Linked DNA regions of Macaca mulatta. The protein of the gene in region 1 purifies or fractionates together with the protein of each later gene. This does not show direct contact. Links are inferred from orthologs where the notes say so. Each region holds a gene or a part of one and is shown in the gene's direction. Other genes may lie near its edges.

The links.
Region 2: the proteins of DDX39B (region 1) and MYO1C purify together in Homo sapiens (affinity purification with mass spectrometry; 5 studies listed by BioGRID and IntAct, with this or other methods). This does not show direct contact. The link is inferred for Macaca mulatta from reciprocal best matches to the Homo sapiens genes DDX39B and MYO1C.

What each region holds. Positions count from the first base shown.
Region 1 is NC_133409.1:150,796,022-150,801,056, forward strand, and holds the end of DDX39B (spliceosome RNA helicase DDX39B), read left to right. Parts: intron 1-2,060; coding exon 2,061-2,192; intron 2,193-3,560; coding exon 3,561-3,670; intron 3,671-3,766; coding exon 3,767-3,911; intron 3,912-4,037; coding exon 4,038-4,185; intron 4,186-4,512; coding exon 4,513-4,529; downstream 4,530-5,035. Other genes in the region: MCCD1 (mitochondrial coiled-coil domain protein 1 precursor), read right to left, coding at 5,028-5,035. UniProt on the Homo sapiens protein: Involved in nuclear export of spliced and unspliced mRNA. Component of the TREX complex which is thought to couple mRNA transcription, processing and nuclear export, and specifically associates with spliced mRNA and not with unspliced pre-mRNA.
Region 2 is NC_133421.1:3,034,866-3,039,900, reverse strand, and holds part of MYO1C (unconventional myosin-Ic), read left to right. Parts: intron 1-708; exon of another isoform or gene 709-833; intron 834-1,642; exon of another isoform or gene 1,643-1,976; intron 1,977-2,122; exon of another isoform or gene 2,123-2,325; coding exon of another isoform or gene 2,326-2,343; intron 2,344-3,765; coding exon 3,766-3,921; intron 3,922-4,340; coding exon 4,341-4,456; intron 4,457-5,035.

The sequences.
Region 1 (5,035 bases):
GCTGGAGCCTTCTGCTCACCAAAACTCCTACTTTCCGGTGGCAGGAGAGCAAGAGAGGGACAGACAGATGGCAGGGCATGTCCAAAAGAAGAGCATCAGCACAAATGAATCCTCCCCTTCCCCACCTCCAGGGGTGGGGGCCTTTGGCACCTCAATCCCCGATACCCTACTCCTTCCCACCCACATCTCCTTGCACCCATCTGGAACCTCGGTTGATGTGAGCCGGCAACAGAGAAGCACCGTGGCGCGGCGAGGGAATGCAGACGGCACCCAGCGGTGGATGGCGGCAGCGGAGGCCGCGGGGAAACCTGACCAGGAAGCTGAGGACCAAACCAGCCTCTTTTTCCGTTCCCGGTTTTTTTCCTGAACCCAACGCGTGCCGTGCCCCGTTTCCCCCCATATGTGTTGGGGAGGGGTGTCCTCAATGGGGTGGTAGATTTTTTTTTTTTTTCCTTAAAAAATTTTTTTGTTTTTTTTAATACTCAGAGGAGAGGGACATAGGAAAGGTAAAGTGGATGTAATCGGGTGGGTGTTAGGGTTTGGGGCTAGGTGGGGCCAATTGCATAAGCAGTGGAGTGTGTTCTCCCTGCAGTGTTCCTTCCCGTGGGATGATAACTCTTTAGCTTTATTTGGGGCTAGAATGAGATTTGAAGAAGGCCATGGAACTTCTCTTTAGAAAGCCTGCCTTGGCTGGGCCTGGTGGCTCACCTCTAATCCCAGTGCTTTGGGAGGCCAAGATGGGAGGATTGCTTGAGCCCAAGAATTTGAGACTAGCCTGGGCAGTGTAGTAAGACTTTGTCTCTACCAGAAAAACCAGGCGTGGTGGCGCATGCCTGTAGTCCCAGCTACTTGGGAGGCTAAGGCAGGAGGGTTTGCTTGAGCTTGGGACACGGAGGCGGCAGTAAGCTGTAATTGTGCCACTGTACTCCAGCCTGGGTGATAGAGTAAGACCCTGTATCAAAACCTGCCTTTTGGGATTGGGCTTCTGTTTTTTCCCATGACATACCCATCCTTTCCTATTTTGTCCTCTGGGTCTTAATATTAACTATCTTCCCCCAGAGAAGTACAAAAGTGTTAGGAAAGTTGTATTTTGGAGTTGTGGTAATTTCTGTCTTTGTTACTCTCCTCCCCTTCAGGGGGTTTTTAAATTTTAAAGATGAATGCAGTGAGGTATAATGGTGTGTGCCTGTAGTCCCAGCTATTCGGGAGACTGAAGCAGGAGGATCACTTGAGCCCAGGAATTTGAGGCTATAATGTGCTATGATTGTGCCAGTGAATAGCCACTGCACTCCAGCCTGGGCAACATGGTGAGATCCTGTCCCTTAAAAGCATATCTGCCTGCTCTGAATTTGGTTTTTTAATACCACTTACTGATACCTTCCCTGTAAACCTGTAGATGGTTTAATTCTTAGTGAAGAGACCAGTCTCATCTAAAATTATCCTGTTGTGGTCTGACGGCAAGTTACTTATCTTGAGTAATTTTTGTTTCTCCTTAAGTGGCATTTTGACTGTCCATTGCAGTGTTCTGATCTTAAAATTGACATCCACTTTCCTAATGTATATGAGATTCTCTTAGTTGAAGTAGGAGAATCAAATGGAGCAGTTGTCCTGCCCCCACCCCATGTTCTTACAAGCAGCTGTGATGGAGTTATTCTGACCTTGAGTCACTGCCTCCCATCATTTCCCAGACGTTTGGGCCTTGCTCTCCCTTTGAGAATCATCTTCCACATTTTTTCTTTCTTCTCCCACCTCTATTTGAGGTAGTGGCATCTGTGCCATTGGGTGGTTTCACTGCTCCTTTACTTCATTTGCAGTTTCTTTCCCATGATAGTTTTTAGTTGGGCAGTCTTAAAACCCCTCTGATAGGAAGGAAATTAGATGTAATGTGAGAGAGACCACAGTAAAATATGGGTAGTTTTGGGAGTGGGGTGGGGTTTTCAATCTTCTCTTTCCTCCCCATCCCCCCATGGGGTGTATTGGAGATCAGCTTCCTCCACCCCCCCAGGTTTAACCCCCCCACTCTGCCCTCCTCCCGTTCCCCACCCCTTCCTCCCCCCCAGCCAATGGAGATCTTCGTGGATGATGAGACGAAGTTGACGCTGCATGGGTTGCAGCAGTACTACGTGAAACTGAAGGACAACGAGAAGAACCGGAAGCTCTTTGACCTTCTGGATGTCCTTGAGTTCAACCAGGTCAGTTACACGTCCAGTAGGGGGATGAGCATTGGAGCACTCCAGCTGTAGCAGAAACCTGGATATTAAGTACACTTTTATTGAGGAAATCACATGTGTGATGTGGGAGAGAATTATGAGGGTGTAAACATTAGGGGCTGAGCATGAGTAAGGTGGAAGCTGCTTTTCTATTCTGTGGTTGGCATGGATATGTATGTCCTCAATAACCTCAAGGAAAATAAACTTCAAAAGTTAAGATCCTTGGCCAGGTACGGTGGCTTATGTGTGTACTCCCAGCACTTTGGGAGACTGAGGCAGGTGGATCACTTGAGTCTAGGACTTTGAGACCAGTCTGGGCAACATGGCGAAACTTCACTACCAAAGAAGAAAAAGTTAGCCAGGTGTGGTGGTGTATGCCTGTAGTCCCAGATACTCTGGTGGCTGAGGTGGGAGGATAGCTTGAGCCCAGGAGATTGAGGCTGCAGTGAACTATGATTGCACTACTGTGCTCCAGCTTGGGCAGTGGAGTGAGACCTTGTCTCCAAAAGTCCTTGAAAGGTTTTAGGAAGTTGTTAAAGGCTTGAAATGATTTTGGGGGGCAAGTTAGGGTTCTTACATGTTTAATTCCTCTAATAACTGCTTATTCAAGAGAAGCATTTGTGACTGGGTGCAGGGCAGTGGCTCATGCCCATAAATCCCAGTACTTTGGGAGGCTGAGGCAGGAACATCGCTTGAGCCCAGAACTTCAAGACCAGCATGGGTAACAGAGAGAGGCCCATCTCTACAAATAGTAAAAAAAAAAAGAAAGGAGTTGGGTGTGGTGGTGTGCACCTGTGGTCCCAGCTACTTGGGATGCTGAGGTGGAAGGATCTCTTGAGCCCAGGAGGTGTAGGCTGCAGTGACCCACGATTGCACCACTGCACTCCAGTCTGGGGGACAGTGACCCCATGTCAAAAAAGTGTTTCATTAATATACTTGTGAGTGGCCTATTTGCACTTAAAACTACTTTATAGAATTAGGATAGCTCCCTTAGGTTTAATGTTTTGGTGAGCAGGAATATCAGTTACCCCCCCAGATCTTAATTCTAGTTTTTTATCACTTTTTCATGAGGTGATCTCATCCTTGTCTCCTACCATGTCTGGCAGTTTTGGTTTCTGAACTTTGTGCTACCTCAGAGGCCAGCCTCCCTAGGGAAAAATCAGTGCTAAAATAAAGTTATATTTCCTCTTCTGCTCTAAATATATAATGGGGGAATAAGAGAGATGAAGAGGAATTCCTGAGAACGTAATTACTAGAAACTCCTCTCTCCCATGTAATGTCTCACACACACTATGGACTCCTATTCCCCCAATTCGCGACCCCCCCACCTCCCACCCCACCCCACAACAGGTGGTGATCTTTGTGAAGTCTGTGCAGCGGTGCATTGCCTTGGCCCAGCTACTGGTGGAGCAGAACTTTCCAGCCATTGCCATCCACCGTGGGATGCCCCAGGAGGAGAGGTGAGTTGAAGATGGGAAAGATATTTTGTGTCTTTGGGAGAAAGACAGTTGAGAGAAGGGCATCTCAACATTTTTAAAATTTCCTTTCTCACAAAGGCTTTCTCGGTATCAGCAGTTTAAAGATTTTCAACGACGAATTCTTGTGGCTACCAACCTATTTGGCCGAGGCATGGACATCGAGCGGGTGAACATTGCTTTTAATTATGACATGCCTGAGGATTCTGACACCTACCTACATCGGGTAAACCCCACAGGCTGAAGAAATCCCACTCTCCCATTCCCTTCTTTTCTATTTGTACATCTTCATCCCTGCCTCTGGATCTCTTTCCTCTTTGATCTTCCAGTGCTACCCTCTGTCTCCTTCCAGGTGGCCAGAGCAGGCCGGTTTGGCACCAAGGGCTTGGCTATCACATTTGTGTCCGATGAGAATGATGCCAAGATCCTCAATGATGTGCAGGATCGCTTTGAGGTCAATATTAGTGAGCTGCCTGATGAGATAGACATCTCCTCCTACAGTGAGTACTGATCTCATGAAACCCTTTAGGTCCTCCCTGTTCCTTAGTGTGTTTGTCCTAAATCCCATCACTTAGATCATTGGCACCTGATGCATAATGGACACTTGGCTGGTTCATGCCCCCTGATCTTTGATGCTGTGTTGGGATGCTTTCCTGACCTTTATGTGGGGTCTCTGTCTTCTCTCATCGTATTACATCCCTTCCCTCACCCCCACATCTGTTCTCTGAACCCACATAGTACACCAGCATCTGCATGTGCGCTGTGTGTTCCTGCCTTGCTTTCCCCTTTTCATGCCTTATTCTGACCATGCTATGTTTTCTCCTTAGTTGAACAGACACGGTAGAAGACTCGCCCATTCTGGAATGTGACCGTCTGTCCTTCAGGAGAGGACACCAGGGTGGGGGTGAAGGAGACACTACTGCCCCCACCCCTGACAGCCCCCACCCCATGGCTTCCATCTTTTGCATCACCACCACTCCTGAACCCCCATTTCTGATTTGTCAGAATTTTTTTTAACAAAACTAAAAATGAAACACATGTGTCTGTGGTATCTATAAGTGCTTCGTCCCTTTATTGTATTTGGGGTGAGGTATTTTAGGGCATGGTCCAGCGTAAATTCCTGTAAGGCCTGGGTGCCCTGCCTGCTGTGAGATTAAAGGGGAATGGGACTAAGACTGCAGAGCCCTGGCTCCCCCACTACCTGCCAATTGCCCGCGATTTGTGGGGGTCTCTTCCACTTTCTCTGGTCTGGGAGCGGCTGGGGTGTCTCTGATCCCAAGGCCGCTGGTGGGTGGCACATGGATTTTCAGTGCCAGAGGGTGCTGTGGGCACTAGGGGAAGCTTAGGCGC
Region 2 (5,035 bases), on another chromosome or scaffold:
AGCTTCCGGCAGGGGCTCTCTGGACCCTTTGCCCCGTCTTCTAAGGCGCTCCCCACCCCTGGGCGGGCTGGAGGCTGGGTCCCCTCCTTGCTCCCTCTAGATTTTTCTTGTTTTGTTTTGTTTGGAGACGGAGTTTCGCTCTGTCGCCCAGGCTGGCATGCAGTGGTGTGATCTCGCTCACTGCAACCTCCGTCTCCCGAGTTCCAGCGATTCTCGTGCCTCAGCCTCCCGAATAGCTGGGATTACAGGCGCCCACCACCACGCTCAGCTAATTTTTGTATTTTTTAGTAGAGACGGGGTTTCGCCAATGTGGCCAGGCTGGTCTCGAACTCCTGAACTCTGATGATCCGCCTGCCTCGGCCTCCCAAAGCGCTGGGATTACAGGCGTGAGCCACCGCGCCTGGCCCTCCCTCTGGATTTTAAACCTGGGGGCACCGCAGCGGGCGCCTCCTCCCGCCCTCCCCCGCCTCTGCCCGAGACGCCCCCATTTCCCCTTCCCCGCTCCCCTGCCCCCACCAGCTGGCGCCCCCGCTTGGGGGTCCCCGGGGCCGCCGCTCCGGCCGGGCTGTTGTTGCAGTAACTAGCATTCCCCGCGAGGATCCAGCCCGCACCTGCCGCAGCCTCGCCCTCTCCCCAGGGAGCGGCGTCCGCGAGCTGGGGGTGGGGCGCTGGGGCTTTGGGTCCCGGCTCTGCCCACCCCCCCAGGGCGAGTCTGTGTCTGCCGTTGCGTTGGTAGGACAGGCAGGTGCCTGTAGACGCGCCTGAGGCTCTCCTCACCGGATCGGAAGCGTGGCCCAGGGCCTGACTCTCAGTAGGCCTCTGCCCGCAAGCAAGTGAGGAATGAGCGTCCGGCGGAGGGAAGGCGGTGGGTGTGGGAAGCGGGGTCTAGAGCGGTCTGGGAGATGCCTTCGCGCTCTATCTCAGGCCACCCAACGGCCCTTCTAGGCCTGTGTTAACCTCATGTTGGGGATGAGGAACAGAAGCCGAAACGTTAAGTGACTAGCTCAGAGTCCCACCGCGAGGAAGCACCAGCTTTTGCTGGCTCTAGACGTCTCCGCCCCTGCCCGCGGTGGGATCTGAGCCAAGGTTTGCCCCAGGCGAGGGAGTGTGGTGCCCGCAGAGCCCAGCGAGGGCGGGGCTGCCAAGGCCGGTTCGGAGTTGGGGGGCGTCCCGGAGATCCGGAGAGACGAGAGAGGTCCCCTTCAAAGCAGGGAGGGAGATGGGCCGAGCGCGGTGGCTCACGCCTGTCATCCCAGCACTTTGGGAGGCCGAGGCGGGTGGATCACCTGAGGTCAGGAGTTCGAGACCAGCCTGGCCAACATGATGAAACCCCGTGTCTACCAAAAATACAAAAATTAGCCGAGTGTGGTGGCGGGTGCCTGTAATCCCAGCTACTCGGGAGGCTGAGGCAGGAGAATCGCTAAACCCGGGAGGCGTAGGTTGCAGTGAGCCGAGATCGCGCCACTGAACTCCAACGTGGGAGCTAGCGCGACTCTGTCTCAAAAAAAAAAAGAAAAAAAAGGAGAGGGAGGAGGCCCGGGCCCAGAGGCGAGTGGGGTGCCTCGGGTGGGGAGAGGCTGTGGGCCCCAAATGCCGTGGGCGGGGATACGCGAATTTCCCAGAGGGGGGAACTGAGCCCTCCAGAGGTGCCGAGGACTCCGCGCGCTCAGCCAGGGCACCCGGTGGCCGTCCCTGTCCCTGGGGCACGCGCTCCGTGCTGACGAGGAAAACCAAGATCTTCCTGGGTTCGAGGCTCCGGCCAGGCCCCGGCGCGTGTGGGTGGACGGCGTCCCGCACGGAGAACGCTCCGCCCGCCAGGCGCGCCGGCCGTATTTGGACATTGGTTCTATTTTTAACTTTCCCGGGACTCGAGTTCGGGGGTTGGGGGAGGGAAATCCCGCTTCCTCTGGGACCCGCAGGCCTCGGTGCCCGCCCAGAACCCGAGCCCGCCGCGGAGTGTCGTCCCAGGCCCGGAAGTGAGTTCCGGGTCGGTGTAGACGCGGCGGCCGCGCGGGTTCCGGGCTCCACCCTGGAACCAACGGCGTCCCTCCTGGAAAACCTGACTCAGGCGGAGCCCGCCCCGCCCGCCCCCGGCCCCGCCCGCGGACCCCCCCCCGACACCCCCACCTCCACCAACCCCACCTGGCGGGGACCCCAGCCCGGCCGCGCGGGAGGCGAGGGAGGCCGGGGAAGCCCCGCGCTTCAGGGGCCCTGGTGGGGGCGGTGCGGGGGGCGGGCCCTCCCTCGCTGACGCCGCCGCCGCCGCCGCCGAGCCCGGGACCCAGAGCGCGGGCAGCAGAGCGGGCGCCAGGCCGGCGGGGCAGGATGCGCTACCGGGCGTCGGTGAGCCGGGGGGCGGCAGGGCAGGGCGGGGCGGAGGGTCCCGGGCGCCCCTCCCCGCCTCGCGGCGTCGCCTCGGCCTCGCCAGGAAGCGGGCGCGGCCCAGGAATTCCGTGTGGAAAAACGTCCCGGGAAGTTGCAGGGGGAGGAGGCCGAGGCGGGGAGGGCCGCGCGGGACGCTCGGACCCGGGGGGCCGGACGAGGAGCTGCCGGGGACGCCTGAGAACTCGGAGACCCCTGACCCGAGGGCGAGGGGGCGGGGACCGCGGCCGGATTTGGCAGCCGCTTGGGCGCGGGATTGGAGCGGGGCGGGGAGGACAAGCCTGGGAGGGGCAGGCCCCCGGCCCGGCCCGGAGTGACGCCCCAGGCCAGGAATCTGGGCCTTTTGTGGTCAGAGGACACCCGGCGGCCCCTTTGGGATCCACCCCCAGTCACCACCACCTTGTTCTTCTCTGACCCTGGATACTCTGGGTGTCCGTTTTCTGGAGCCCTGAGACCCTGTTTGGAGGGGGATCCATCTCAGCCCTGGTTGTGGGGTGAGGGTCTTGCTGAGCCCTCCAGTGGGACCCAGAGGCAGCTGGGCTTTCCATGGTAAACCCCCCATCCCCTGAGGCTTCTCAGGACTCAGTGGAGGAGGCGCCTGGGGAGTTCGGCAGCTGGAGGAAAGGGAGTGGCCCCAGCCATGCGAGGGAGTCCCCCCCTTCTGGAGTGGGTGGCTGAGCCCAGCTGGGGTGGGAGGCCCTCCGGGGGAACCCCTCTGGTGTAGTCTGGGAGTAACCTCTTCCTTGGTGCGAGACGCTCTACCTGTGGAGATGTGGGTGGGTCCCGATGGGAGAGACGGCCCCACTCTGCCTGCAGAATTGACCCTGAGCCATTTGTCCTCCAAAGCACCTGTCACACGTGGCTCAGAGCTAAGGGACCTGAGGTCACCTGGTCTAACTCCTCCTCCTTGAGGAGGAAGCAGCCCAGAGAGAGGAGGGGCTTGGTCCAAGCTCCACAGAGCAGTCTTTCTGCTATTTCAAGGAGTTCCTTCTTGTGACCCGCTCCTTTCTCCACCCAAAACCGGCACCTCCCAGATTCTGCCCTCTGGTCCTGCGTGCGTCCGTGCCCTGTGTACACACCGGGACCCAAGTGCTTCATGTGGTCTCTGTTCTGTGCCCGCAGCCTCGGTGATCCCTGTGCTGCGACACCCAGACCCAGGCCCTCCACACCCGGCTTTCTGCACCCTGCCCACCACACCCAGACCCTCCAAACCCAGGCCCTCCACACCCAGGCCTTCCGCACCCATCAGGCTCATGTCCCATGTCCAGCCCTGAGTCCACAAGCCCCTGCGTTCCCTCTCAGTCCCACAGGCACAGTGGAGGAGAAGTGGCCTTGCCTGGTCCCCCATGACTCTGACCCTCTTCTGTGGCCCATTCTCTGCAGGCCCTGGGCAGTGACGGGGTTCGGGTGACCATGGAGAGTGCGCTGACTGCCCGTGACCGGGTGGGGGTGCAGGATTTCGTGCTGCTGGAGAACTTCACCAGCGAGGCCGCCTTTATCGAGAACCTGCGGCGGCGGTTTCGGGAGAACCTCATCTATGTGAGGCCCTTGTGGGGAGATGGCAGGGGTGCTGGGGTCACAGACACAGGGCAGAGGGGAAGGAGACACCAGGGGTCACCAGGATAAACTTGTTTTTGTTGTTTGAGACGGAGTTTCACTCTTGTTGCCCAGGCTGGAGTGCAGTGGCGCAATCTTGGCTCACTGCAACCTCCTCCTCCCCGGTTCAAGCAATTCTGCCTCAGCCTCCCGAGTAGCTGGGACTACAGGCATGTGCCACCATGCCCGGCTAATTTTGTATTTTTAGTAGAGATGGGGTTTCCCCATATTGGTCAGGCTGGTCTCGAACTCCCAACCTCAGGTGACCCGCCTGCCTCGGCCTCCCAAAGTGCTGGGATTACAGGCGTGAGCCATCGCACCTGGCCCGGGATCAACTTTTGACCCTCTTCCCCCAACCCCAGACCTACATTGGCCCCGTCCTGGTCTCTGTCAACCCCTACCGGGACCTGCAGATCTACAGCCGGCAGCACATGGAGCGTTACCGTGGCGTCAGCTTCTATGAAGTGCCCCCTCATCTGTGAGTGACCCCAGCCCCTCTGGGAGCGACCCCTCTGTCTCCATCTGAAGTGACCCCACCCAACCCTTACTCTAAAATGATCCTGGCCGGGCGCGGTGGCTCAAGCCTGTAATCCCAGCACTTTGGGAGGCCGAGGCGGGTGGATCACGAGGTCAGGAGATCGAGACTATCCTGGCTAACATGGTGAAACCCCGTCTCTACTAAAAATACAAAAAACTAGCCGGGCGTGGTGGCGGGCGCCTGTAGTCTCAGCTACTTGGGAGGCTGAGGCGGGAGAATGGCGTGAACCCGGGAGGCGGAGCTTGCAGTGAGCCGAGATCACATGCCACTGCACTCCAGCCTGGGCGACAGAGCGAGACTCCGTCTCAAAAAAAAATAAATAAAATAAAAATAAAATGATCCTGACCTCCTGCGCCACAGCTGTGAGGAATCCCACAGTTTCTCACCCCCGGGTGACCAGAGATGAGTGTCACAACTCAACTCCATCTGGGTGGGACTCAGTCCATACCCCACCTCACACCCATGACTTGTTCCCCAACTGGGAGTGGCCCCCCAATCTTAGTGACTTCTGAACCCCAC